Linked DNA regions of Saccharomyces cerevisiae S288C. Changing the gene in region 1 together with any one later gene gives a genetic interaction. Each region holds a gene or a part of one and is shown on either strand. Other genes may lie near its edges.

What was found. A genetic interaction does not mean that the proteins touch.
Region 2: of SIS2 (region 1) and NHA1, extra expression of one rescues a mutant of the other (dosage rescue), as found in Saccharomyces cerevisiae (3 studies listed by BioGRID).
Region 3: mutations in SIS2 (region 1) and TAP42 together harm fitness more than expected from each alone (negative genetic interaction), as found in Saccharomyces cerevisiae (3 studies listed by BioGRID).

Annotation. Positions count from the first base shown.
Region 1 is NC_001143.9:575,900-579,829, reverse strand, and holds SIS2 (phosphopantothenoylcysteine decarboxylase complex subunit SIS2), read left to right. Parts: upstream 1-1,706; coding exon 1,707-3,395; downstream 3,396-3,930. Other genes in the region: YKR075C (uncharacterized protein), read left to right, coding at 1-3; AIM29 (Aim29p), read right to left, coding at 154-621; YKR073C (uncharacterized protein), read left to right, coding at 1,323-1,643; electron carrier DRE2, read left to right, coding at 3,850-3,930. UniProt on the Saccharomyces cerevisiae protein: Component of the phosphopantothenoylcysteine decarboxylase (PPCDC) involved in the coenzyme A synthesis. Acts as an inhibitory subunit of protein phosphatase PPZ1, which is involved in many cellular processes such as G1-S transition or salt tolerance.
Region 2 is NC_001144.5:416,643-421,954, reverse strand, and holds NHA1 (Nha1p), read right to left. Parts: upstream 3,519-5,312; coding exon 561-3,518; downstream 1-560. Other genes in the region: SLS1 (Sls1p), read left to right, coding at 1-413; RKM5 (S-adenosylmethionine-dependent methyltransferase), read right to left, coding at 3,846-4,949; TIS11 (Tis11p), read left to right, coding at 5,297-5,312. UniProt on the Saccharomyces cerevisiae protein: Sodium export from cell, takes up external protons in exchange for internal sodium ions. Also capable of exporting potassium ions.
Region 3 is NC_001145.3:325,902-329,142, reverse strand, and holds TAP42 (Tap42p), read right to left. Parts: upstream 1,662-3,241; coding exon 561-1,661; downstream 1-560. Other genes in the region: FAR8 (Far8p), read left to right, coding at 1-483; YMR027W (putative methyltransferase), read right to left, coding at 1,854-3,241. UniProt on the Saccharomyces cerevisiae protein: Involved in negative regulation of the TOR signaling pathway in response to type of available nitrogen source. Inhibitor of PP2A phosphatase SIT4, which results in inhibition of nuclear export of MSN2, due to lack of dephosphorylation by SIT4.

The DNA of each region.
Region 1 (3,930 bases):
TAAAGGAGAGTTTGCTCTCTTCTGCATTTCCACATACACATTTGATGTTAATTTACATACGAGTATACTCTCGTACACAACATATATATATATATATATGTAATATATTCATAGCACTTACTTATTAATGAAGGCCATAAGCCAAACAACATCTCACCATTTTTCTTCAGGGTTTTCTTTAAACCTTAGGTAATCCTCTTTGTTGAAAAGCGAAATTTCGGTTTCATTCTCAATGCCATACTCGAACAGCTTTTTTTTGTCATTCTCTATGTCTAAAGTCCAGTCGTCATCGTGGTCAAAATTGATCACGAGATTAACCGTCTTGGAACCATGTGCGTGCGTGTATATCTTTAAAGTATCAAACTTAACATTACGGAATGGTCTGAATGAACCTTCATTTTGAATTTTGTTCAAAACGTCATTGAACAGGTCCTTTGCAGTTTTATCAGCAAGATCGTAATCGTGCAGCACTATGTTCTTGACGTTTCTATATGGGAAAGATTTTATTACTCGGATTGTAATAACGGAGTTCTTTAGTGGTCTGGCATTTGAGGTTAATGGCTCTTCCAAGTCATAATCATGAAAGGTTGTTGACATTTTCAGCCTTTTAGTTGAATTCATGAAATAATGCAACCAAACAAGAAAAAATTTGGGGGAGGTAGTCTACGCATTTCAGTTCTAACTTCCTTCCTTTTCTTTCACTATTAATTGAAACTTATTTTCATTTTTTTTCTTTAGCATTGAACGCCGAATCTAAAAAAGTAAAGAACTCCTCATAGGGGGCTCGAACCCCTGACATTTCGGTATCCTTGCTTAAGCAAATGCGCTTAAAAGCCGAACGCTCTACCAACTGAGCTAACAAGGATGAGTTCTTCGGAGGGCTAACTCATATAAATAACTAATAAAGGCGAAATAGTGGTCACCACCATCACACTACACCCATATCAACGACAAGAGTTTAATTTGACCGTGGAAATTTATTACTGCTGATTTGGGTTCTATGATAAATCCTCGTAACGTAGAGACTATGTTTTTATATGCGCATTAAGTGCCGGAAAACGTGAGAAATAGGCTTTCCGGAGCATCAAACCTGAGGTTTCATAAATTGTGTTCGTGAAGGATGCATTCCAGAGGGCCATCCATCCAGCATAAAAAGAGATCTACAAAGCAATTATGTGGTTTCGCCATTATCCGTAGGATGACCTAAAAAATGGTAATGATTCACGTGATCTAGAAACTTTAACGTGTTATATCATTCAAGGCGTAACTTATACGCGCGGGGTACCCTATCATATCTAACACACGTACCCTGGGTTAATGCCATGATCGTCTTTGATGTATCTCTAATGATCATTATTATTTTTTCTTTTGCTTTTAACATGAGTCAAAGCAATATTCTTATGTTATATAACTCACCCCATGTGCTCGTGGGCAGTGACGCACGCAACTTTTTCTCTTGCAAAAAATGGCATCGATGCTTTTCTGGGGAGGTGATATTAGAGGAGAAGAAGTCACAGAGTGCTCTTGGATCACGATCCCTCACTTGTACTTGTCCACTTATCAGCGCCGTCCAGTTACATTTGGAGAGATCTTTTTTTAGCCTGGCCTTCTTTGCTGTCATACTACTTTATATTCCGGGATAAAATATAAAGAAATATTAGTTAGGAAAAAATTAATAGGGAAGAAAGATCTAGAAGCAAACAGCAATGACTGCCGTCGCCTCTACTAGCGGGAAGCAAGATGCTGACCATAACCAGTCTATAGAGTGTCCAAGGTTTTCGCGTGGACAGAAAGAGATTTTGTTGGACCATGAGGATGCGAAGGGGAAGGATTCAATAATCAACTCCCCCGTGTCAGGGAGGCAATCAATAAGCCCTACTTTGTCGAATGCTACTACCACGACTACGAAATCTATTATGAATGCCACCGGCACCTCCGGCGCAGTAGTAAGTAATACTCCGGAGCCTGGTTTGAAGAGAGTCCCCGCCGTCACTTTCAGTGATCTAAAGCAACAGCAAAAGCAGGATAGTCTGACTCAGCTGAAGAACGACTCAGAAAGGACCAAGTCTCCAAATAGTAATCCTGCTCCTGTCTCAAATTCCATTCCTGGCAATCATGCAGTTATACCGAACCACACCAACACTTCAAGAACAACGCAATTATCTGGGTCTCCACTCGTCAACGAAATGAAAGATTATGATCCTAAGAAAAAAGACAGTGCTCTTAAAATAGTTGATACCATGAAGCCTGACAAAATCATGGCCACTTCAACGCCAATAAGTAGAGAAAATAATAAGGTAACCGCCAAAGCCCCCACCAGTATTACACTTCGAAAGGAAGATGCACAAGATCAAGCTAACAATGTTTCAGGCCAAATTAATGTGCGTTCTACCCCGGAAGAAACGCCAGTGAAGCAGTCCGTCATTCCTTCCATCATCCCCAAAAGAGAGAACTCCAAGAATTTGGATCCCAGACTACCTCAAGATGATGGAAAATTGCACGTGTTGTTTGGCGCTACAGGTTCGTTATCGGTATTTAAGATCAAGCCAATGATTAAAAAACTAGAAGAAATATATGGACGTGATAGAATAAGCATTCAAGTTATCCTCACTCAATCAGCAACACAGTTTTTCGAACAAAGATATACCAAGAAAATTATCAAATCTTCAGAAAAACTAAATAAAATGTCGCAGTACGAATCCACTCCGGCAACTCCAGTGACACCAACACCAGGACAATGCAACATGGCTCAAGTAGTCGAGTTACCCCCACATATTCAACTATGGACCGACCAAGATGAATGGGACGCATGGAAACAACGAACTGATCCTGTACTTCATATAGAACTACGTCGCTGGGCGGATATACTGGTAGTAGCTCCATTAACTGCAAACACATTATCAAAAATTGCTTTGGGCCTGTGCGACAATCTTCTGACAAGTGTCATTAGAGCTTGGAATCCGAGTTATCCCATTCTTTTGGCACCTTCTATGGTGAGTAGCACTTTTAATTCTATGATGACAAAGAAGCAACTACAAACGATAAAGGAGGAAATGTCCTGGGTCACTGTTTTCAAGCCGTCTGAGAAAGTTATGGATATAAATGGTGATATTGGTCTCGGGGGTATGATGGACTGGAATGAGATTGTTAACAAAATCGTTATGAAATTGGGTGGGTACCCAAAAAATAACGAGGAAGAGGACGATGATGAGGATGAGGAAGAAGACGACGACGAAGAAGAAGATACAGAAGATAAGAACGAAAACAACAACGATGATGATGACGATGACGACGATGACGACGACGACGACGACGACGACGACGACGACGACGACGATGATGACGAGGACGAGGACGAAGCAGAAACCCCAGGTATAATAGATAAGCATCAATAAATAGTCTATGAATTACAAATACACTAAACACATTCTACTTATTTGTGTTTTGTAATTTCTGGAAAAATACTCATTAGGCAAATTCACGCAGCATATTTACAAAATGTCACAAATTTTTTTCCTTTTTTACTTGCAGTAGGTATGTAATGCCATACTAGCGTACATAGAGCTCTTCATATAAACCGCTATTTATTACTAATTTTAATAATTCAGTAATTCATTAAATACATTCATTACTTTCTGGGTAAATATCTATTCGTTTCTCATTTTTCTTTTTTTGACATATCCCGGTACCGGAATAAGTCCGATACTATTCAAAAGCTTCTGGAAAAAAAAAATAAAAAAAAGAAATGATTAGTAATCATTTAATTTCATGACATATTAAAAAGGTATTCTAAGCAGAAGTCTTTCATCACATTTGATCTAAGCATATACACTGTAAGTGAAGGTATCGATGTCACAATACAAAACTGGTTTACTTTTAATACATCCGGCGGTGACTACAACGCCAGAGCTAGTAGAGAACACTAAGGCT
Region 2 (5,312 bases), on another chromosome or scaffold:
CTCCACAATGCCAGACAGACTATAAGATCACGTCAGATTACATTCAAGATCTTTTACCTGATTTCGACCAGACCAATCCGGATGCTTGGTTATCTGAACAAAAAGGCCTCCAAGAATTTCTTCTCAAGTCACACTGGAAGTTAAACAAATATCAGAATCTTATGAAAAAAATCAACATTTCTTTACCAGATAACCTAATACAGCAATACCAATTGACTGATGTTTTGACCCATCGTGTCTTGAATTTACGATTTCCTACGAACACTGCCCAAGATGATAAATACATCATTCAATATTCAGATATCAGCCGCGGATTTTTGAACAATGGCTCCTACAGACAATTAGATTTCATCAATGTGAACCCCAGTGAAACCTCACTAAAAACCTTTATCAATGATGTTTTAAGCTTTTAAGTTTAACGGAAAAGAGTAATGACAAAACCGCATACCCCCCCCCCCTCCCCCTCTTTACCGCATCTACTCTATTTCCGACACATGTAAATAAAAAAGGCATTTCGTTTATATATATACTAAAATAATATATCTTTGTGTATTAATAAATTACTTATTGAGACCAAGCGTTTTTGATAGCGCCGACTTAACAGCAGCACTCTTTTGCTTTTTTTTTCCTTCCGCTGTACCTGGACCATCGTTTCCTGTTTGTGCCTCCACAGGTAAGGGCGGCAACTCTTCGTCATCTTGATCCGCTGGTGCCGTCATCTCACCTAACGCATTTAACCTTCTTTGTCTTTCGAATTCAGTTTCTGATTCATATGCATTATCGTCGTAATCTTCACTATCGTCCATGTTATAACTATCACCTAAATCCTCCTCAGATGAAGGTTCATCTTCCAGATCTAAGGAATCTTGAACTCCTCTCGGTGGCGCAGGTGTTAATGTCCTTTTCTTTAACATCCCTGGGCCCTTCCTGGAGGGTCCTTCGATGGCTTTTTCTTCATCTACTGGAGGCGGTACGCCGCTGTTCGCTTTGCTCTTTAGTCCTACTGCTGTTAAAGCTCTTGATACAACACTATCGTTTCTTGGGCGGTTTTTACTTTTATCATCATCAGATTTATGAGGATTTATCTTGTATCTTTTTATAACATCACCGTCCTCATTCTCGATGATTAACAGATTGTCTATTTTAAATGCATGATACTTGCTGTTTTTATTTTTATCCTTTCCTTTATCAACCAATGAATGTATCTTTCCTAAAGATGTGGGAGTTAAAATTCTCTTTAACCTTCCCCCACTACTACTGGATAGATTGGTCATTGTGGTAGTTAAACTTGAATGGGCTGTACTATCAACACTAACTTCGTCATCTCTCGCCTCATTGCGATCCTCGATATCTACTTGATTCAAGATTTCACCTTGCTTATTTTCAATAATCATTCTATTACCATCTAAATAAGCAGTACCAGGTTTCATTTCTTCCTCTTTCATTTTTCGAATTCTCCTCTCTTCACTACTGGCCATTGATCTTTCACTTTCATTTTCCATCTCGTCTTCGCTTTCAATCTCGCTTTCTGTCTCTTCTCCATCGTAACGGTTTCTTGGTACGTAAGTTCTTCCTCGGAGAGATGAAGATCTTTCAGACGACTCAAAACTTGGTGTGTTATTGTAATTATCGCTATATTCCTTTTCCGGTGTGTACTCATCTTCTTCTTCATCTCCACCCATTCCAATCTCCTCATTACGTTGTGTATTGACGGCTGTGCTCAATGCAAATGTGGCGGCGCGTGCTTCCTTTTCTTTTTGCAACCTTTCTCGTCCCAGATCATTCAACTCATCGTCATCATACATTTCATTTTTAGATCTTGATGAAAATATTTCTCTACCTTTGTTTCTCAGTTTCTGTCTTCTGTTCAATCTTTTCTCTTTTCTTGACAATTTCCTCCTCCTTGGCATACCACCAGCGGGTCTTGCAGGAATTCCGCTCGTTGCGACGCTACCAATTTGATCATTGTTTAATCCTTCTTCATCTTCACCTCCTGCTAGTCCCTTACGACCTCCTCCTTCTTCTGCTTCACCTTCATCCCCTGATAAAGTCATTTGAGTATCCATACGATGCAATGAAAATGATCGTCCAGCTTTATCCAACGATGGCAACCTTTGCATCCATGAACTTTTCCCATTATCACCATTGGTGGTGTGTGTAGTGAATGTTTTGGTTAACGTTATCGTGTTCAAATGACGACCTAGAGTTATGATTGCAACTGAAGAACCATGAACTATGATAGAAGTAACAATGAAAAAACAAGTTATTGGCCATATACAGGCTATCAGCTGCCAATGTTTACTTTCCTCTTTTGATGGTACAACATTTAAAGGAGTGGGTTCGTCACTAAAGGTAGACTCTAATTCTCCACGAGCTAGTATAGCGGCAAAAATTGCACCTACACCAATAGGACCAAAATGGCCCACAAAAAGTGCCTCACGCCACGATTTTATATCAGGTATAAGAGGTCTTAATATCATGACTGCAGGGATCCTACGTAAAAAGATGACCACTATCGAAAGTATAATTAAACGCCAGACGTTTGTGCCAATTTCACCGTTGTTGAATTGACTCCAAGGTATAATGGCACCAAAATAGATAAAATACGCATAGTTTAGTAGCAAATCAATCACGGTAGAAACATTACTTTCTTGTGTCTTTTGAGAAAACCACCCATCCCAAGCGAAAGTCGCACCGGCTGCAAATGATACCAATAGGTCATCCACACCCAAAATGGAGCCGAACCCAGCACACATGAACGCCAGGACAACGTAAAATGCTAAGAACGACTCACGATCGATAATGTTTTTCTTTTCGGCAAACCTGATGGTGATTCTGCCTACATAACCAATGAAGCAACCTAGCAAGCATCCAAACAAACACTCATACAGGATAGTAACGCAAATCCAATCTTTGACAATTTCTCTTCCATTACCGGGATGTAGGATTAAATTCATAGAAAGAAATAAAAAAGGAAAGGCCATACCATCATTGCAGCCTGACTCTGCAGACAGTAGATTTCTTAAGTGACCAGGTACTCTTTGGGCAAACTTACCGGAGACGACCGACTGCGCCAGAATAGGATCTGTTGCGGTAATGCACGCAGATATCAACAAACTAGCAGAAAAATTCAAGCCAGGTATAAGAATCCAAACGAAGAGACCAATAATAAGCCATCCAGCTGTCATCACTGGCAATAATAGCATCGTCACAGATACCCAATGCTTCAACATATATTTCCGTGGCAGTTCCACGGCAACGGCAAAAATTTGCAAACATAATACTATTCTCGTTATCTCTAATGTTATACTGTCTGAATTCCCCCATTTCAGAGGATTAAACCAGTTCAAGCAAACAGGACCCACAATTAGCCCAAATATACCTGCTACGGTGGACTCACCAATATAAAGCTTCTCCTTGACATAAAGTGACACTAAAGAGAAGATAGATGAAAAGACACCAACACATGCATAAGCAACGTGCGCCTTTGAGACTTCTAGTTGCTCCCAGATAGCCATAATATCTAGCTAAGTTCAGGATTTTTTTTTATAATGTACAAAAAAACACGATGCTTGGGAAAAATAAGTGCAGTGGAAAATGAAGCTTAAAAATCAAATGTGTGTAGAAAGTGTGATCCTATGTAAATCGCTAAGTCCGCTTTATCTTGACGATAACGGATCCAGCAGCTTTTAGATTATTAGCTATATCACACAGAGTTGGCTTAGTGCCCTTGCTAATCAAAAATGAAAATCTTCCCAATCCGTACGGAGGGGAAGAGGCACTGCCGCATCGCAAAGAAAAATAAGATTATCAGCATTATATTGTTTCTATTATTATATATGGGACTAGGTGATAAGATAAAAGTTAAAACGGGACTCTTGTATGACCTGGTCAACGATATCATAAACCGTGAAGTCATATTCTATGATGGCTTTCTCCAAGAACAGTGTTGTCACCTCTTGTGACCGCAAGTGTATCCCCACGAGGACATGGAATTGCAAATTGTAGGTAGTTTGTAACCAGTGTTTGAGTTGCTTGAGCGTCTTCAGAAACGGATCTATCAGGTACTCGTTGTATATGACATCCATAGCTATAACGTACACGGAAGAACATGTTTCACCTATGAGTGACAACTCAGGATGCAGAGAGTGGGTCTTTTTGTCTTGCAAGTTTATCTTCTCCCAGTCTAGAGCGGCTACTTCCAAATGCAACGTAGACTTAGATGGAAGTGACGCTGCGGTGATATCAGCGTCGCCAACTGGTTCGACGGTGGGAAGTTCCAATCTTAGTGATCGGGAAATGCACCGCTTTCTGGTCAACTGTGATAAGTTTTCCATGATGTTATCTTTTAATTTATTAAGAATGCCCTTCTGATCTGTCGACACGTAGGTGTCGACGAAGTTACCAAGAATCACGGGCAAAATACCTGATATTCCTGCTCCAAGTTCCAAGATACCTCTCTTGCCGCGATCAGCGCCCGTGAGGTCGACCAGCCTGGGCAACTCAAGCTTGTGCCCCTCGCAAGAAGACCCGCAGGTTACTTCCACCTGACTCCCAAGACGGAAAGGTGCAGCGCTAGTACTATACAGCAGCCAGTTGATGAAGAAAGGTGTGGTAGACCACAAAACGTATCCTGTGGTGGAGTTTCCGTTGTCTCTGGACGAGCGCAAGCTTGATATGGACTGCCCCACGCTAACATGATAGCTATCCACAGCAACATTCTGATCTTCTTCAACACTACTAGCCTTATTTCTTCTTCTCACTCGCTTTTTTTTTCTGCCGCCTTCCAGCCCAGAGGGTTCAAACGTTATCTCTAGCACACCGCCCCTTCTATCCTGAATACCCAAATCCTGCGCCAGTTTCCCGGACTGGCCCTCCAATTGTGTGTACCGTTCGAACACGTGCTCGTATATTGTTTCCTCATCCAGTAGCCATAACTTGAATGCCATTCTGCCTAGCCCATTTGCGTCTTCGCTGCCGTAACCATTCTCTCTTCTTGACAGCACTGCCTTGGTCAGTTCTCTATATTTGTCGCGCCGCCGCAAAATGCACCCACATTAAAGAAGACGACGCCAATCGACACCCTAATTTGGAGGTGTAGATGCACAATGGCACATGCAGTTGGGTGCATTGTGCCAGCAATCTCGTCTCGATTTCTCTACATGTAACTTGTATATATATTTGAGAGAAGACATAATCGTTGGTGGGACTTGGAGGCTCTTGGTAGGTCGTATTTGTGCATCTTGAGAGAAAGCGAAACAGTGCTGCAAACTCAATACGTAAAAAATAACGCAATATGTGGGCTCAATTAT
Region 3 (3,241 bases), on another chromosome or scaffold:
TTACTGTCTTCAAATCCATACCAGCTTACCATATATGATTTCGAGGGTAAGCTTCTACAAAAAATTGATTTGAAGATTGATACAATATTATCGGGTAAGCCAGAAGAAGAAGGTTACCATTTATTTTTGGATAGAAAAACTTCTAAGCTACTGATTCAGCTAAGCAATGAGAGATTATTGGTTTATTCTTTTGATAAGAAAAAAGTTGTACTGAAGGAACAATTGACTCCATCGTCAACACTACCAATACAACTCGATTTGAACGACAGCATAATCACCGTATCATATAGTAATGGAGACTTTGAGTTTAGGAATTTAGAAAACCTAAAACCATCCATCGACGAATTTGTCGTAGCAGACATCAACTTCTCGGAAAGAAAAGAGCCTGTGGTATTTTCTTCAAATCTGATTGTAGATTCTACGCCGGTGTTAATCACCGTGAATAAAAATAACGAAGTCCTTTTGCACAAGATTAAAATATAACTGATGTAGGCAGAAAAAAAAATAATATATGAATCTGTCTAATAGATACTTATGTGTACGTATATAGGTATTTTTTTCTATCCTCTATTCATGGTATTTCCGCTTCCCTTAGCATGACTTTCCTTGAACTCGTCCCACTCACGAGCTTTATAGGTTTCTCTATCTTGCCAGTCCATGTTTTCTTCATCTGGTGCTTGCTCTGGTTCTTCGCCACCTTGAAGAACGCGACCTTCTTCAAACTCTTTATCTAAAAATTCCTCCACCGACATTGTTGGTCCATATTGACCATATCCTCGCACTTTTTGTTGCAGTTGTTGCCTTTTGTCGACAAGCGTGAAGTTCCTCAAGACTTGACCTTTTTTGTCTATCAATGGCTTATTTATATTCTCTAATTTATCGGTAAAACCAGTGGAATCATCATCATTCGATTCTTTTCGTATCTGAGTACCTGATGATTTGACTTCATGTACGGAATTTTTGAGGAAATTAGAGAGCATTTCACATTCAAATAAATTCTGTTCAATGTTGTTAATCGTATCAAGACTAAAGTGATGTAACCTCATCAAATATAGTTCTCTTAGTAATTCATCATGGTCGTGGTCCTCGTCGTTGTTTTTTAATTCCAACTCCAAGCAGTGCAGTTTTGTGCTAATTTCTTTATTGCGCTGGAATAGCTCAATCTTTTCTTTTCTCTTCAACTGTGCTCCAGATAAATCTTTGTTATTTTTTGGTTGCGCGTACAATTCGCTAAGCTGAGGGTTATAACGATCCTTGAAGTTACCTAGTTTTTCACCAACCAAAGGATCTAGAAGCTTATAATCCTGCAATAGTGTCAGGAAATTAATGAAAGATTCAACGCTTTTTTTCAGGTAAATCAATTTCATAGACTGCCTTTGAGCAACATCCGAATCATTCGACTGTCGTCTTGATATCAATAATCCTAAATAGTAATCAACTGCTAGAAATTTGATGGAAGCAGTAGACACATCATCAATGGTCTCATTAGTACTGAACAATGCCAACCTGTCAAAAATTGCTGTTTTTAAGTTTAATAATTTCTTGATCGTGGAAAGTAATAATCCCTGGTACTCTGGTGAATCTTGCCTCAAAGATGTGTGTTCCAATTTTGTTGAGTATAAGCTAATAATATCGTTGAATTGTTCTGTTACTGACGCCATGTTTATGATCTCTCCTCGTTATTACTTTCTTCCTCTTCTTTCGCCATTGATTGTAATTTGTCCTTAGGAGCTTTCTTTTTTTTATCAGAAGTACATAAAATAAAAGGCACGTACTAAAAATCTATGTGCTTTTTTGGAACATTTCATAGGGAAAGTCATAAAGTAAAGTTATATAGAGAACTTATCATATTCTTATTTATGTATACCAGAGCAGAAACAAATGACTGCCCATTTACCGCTACAACACCACCAAGAACCACGGCCAGGATTTTCCTTTTCCCATTCTTGACTTAATTTCGCGTCTAGACCTTCAGGTAAAGCAACTTGTACATCGGCTTTACAGGTTCTCAAGCTCAATGATGTAATACCATTCGTAGCAAGAGGTCCGATAGCCGTTTCCCATTTAGTGGTGCGGGGCCATTTTCTGTCGCCAGTTAATTTTCTATAGTTTAGATCACCCTTAAAAATAACCAAATTGGATTTTTGCAAATCTTTGTGCAAAATGGATCCATGGTATTTGGTTTCGTTTGCGTCCAAATTCCAATAATCTAATTCCGTGGTCCAGAAAGAATCTTCGCGGAATTCTATCTTACCGCTAGAGACGAACTTTTCCATTTCACCAGCAAATAAATCAAGAGCTCTGGATTCCTTTGTCGAGGGTTCACCACTTGGGAAGAACTCACGATCTCTCAGGTCATGAACTAATATATCAAAATCTTTTAACATAACATCGCTAACCATGTATGGAATGTCTTTAGCGTGGAAAATACATTTGGTAGCCAAACCACTTTGTAACAGAAAAGCTGCCAACATCAAGTCAGCATACAATTCAAAGCCAGAATTGTCTAATACAAAATCAACACGAATTTCTCTGCTATTGGCATCGGCCCTGGCTTTGGTTAATACCTCCCATGCTTTCTCCGTGTCATTAACAACAATCTTGGACTCGGATGCAGCTCTTGCTTTCGCCCCTTGGATTGATTTAATGTCTTCTAACGTAGCGTTGGTCAATAAAGATAAATCAGTGGCATTGCCCCACAAAGAAATCTCAATAAACTCTTTAAAAAGAACTTTCAATATATCGTCAATCTCATTTCCTGGATTTTGCTTCATTTCTCTCAGCTGTGGTAACAGATTTTCATACCTTAACGCCAATTCCACGACACCATAAAACGAGGACTCAAAAGTTGACTGTTTAAGTCTGTTGAATATGTCAAATTTAGCCCATTCGCATTGGCGTTGGAAAAGAACATTTACTCTTCTATACAAGTAAACCTCCGAGAACAGCCACTCTACAGCCCCCCAATTGACTTCAGGGTGTTTCTTTAGATATTCATTGAACGAAAGCGGGACGTTGGCAATTTTGATCTCTTCTTCAGTAAAGGGTCTCAAAGGTACACGATCAATTATCTCCTGACGGAATTCCTTGAGCTCCTTTTTGATAACTTCACCTTGTTCGAACTTAGTGCCGTTACTCTTCTCCGTTTCTTGATGCTTACTTAAATCGTCTATAGCATTCTGAATGATAATGGGCCAACGGGTGCTAGCAGTGTATTCACCAAAAGTGCCCTTATCAATTG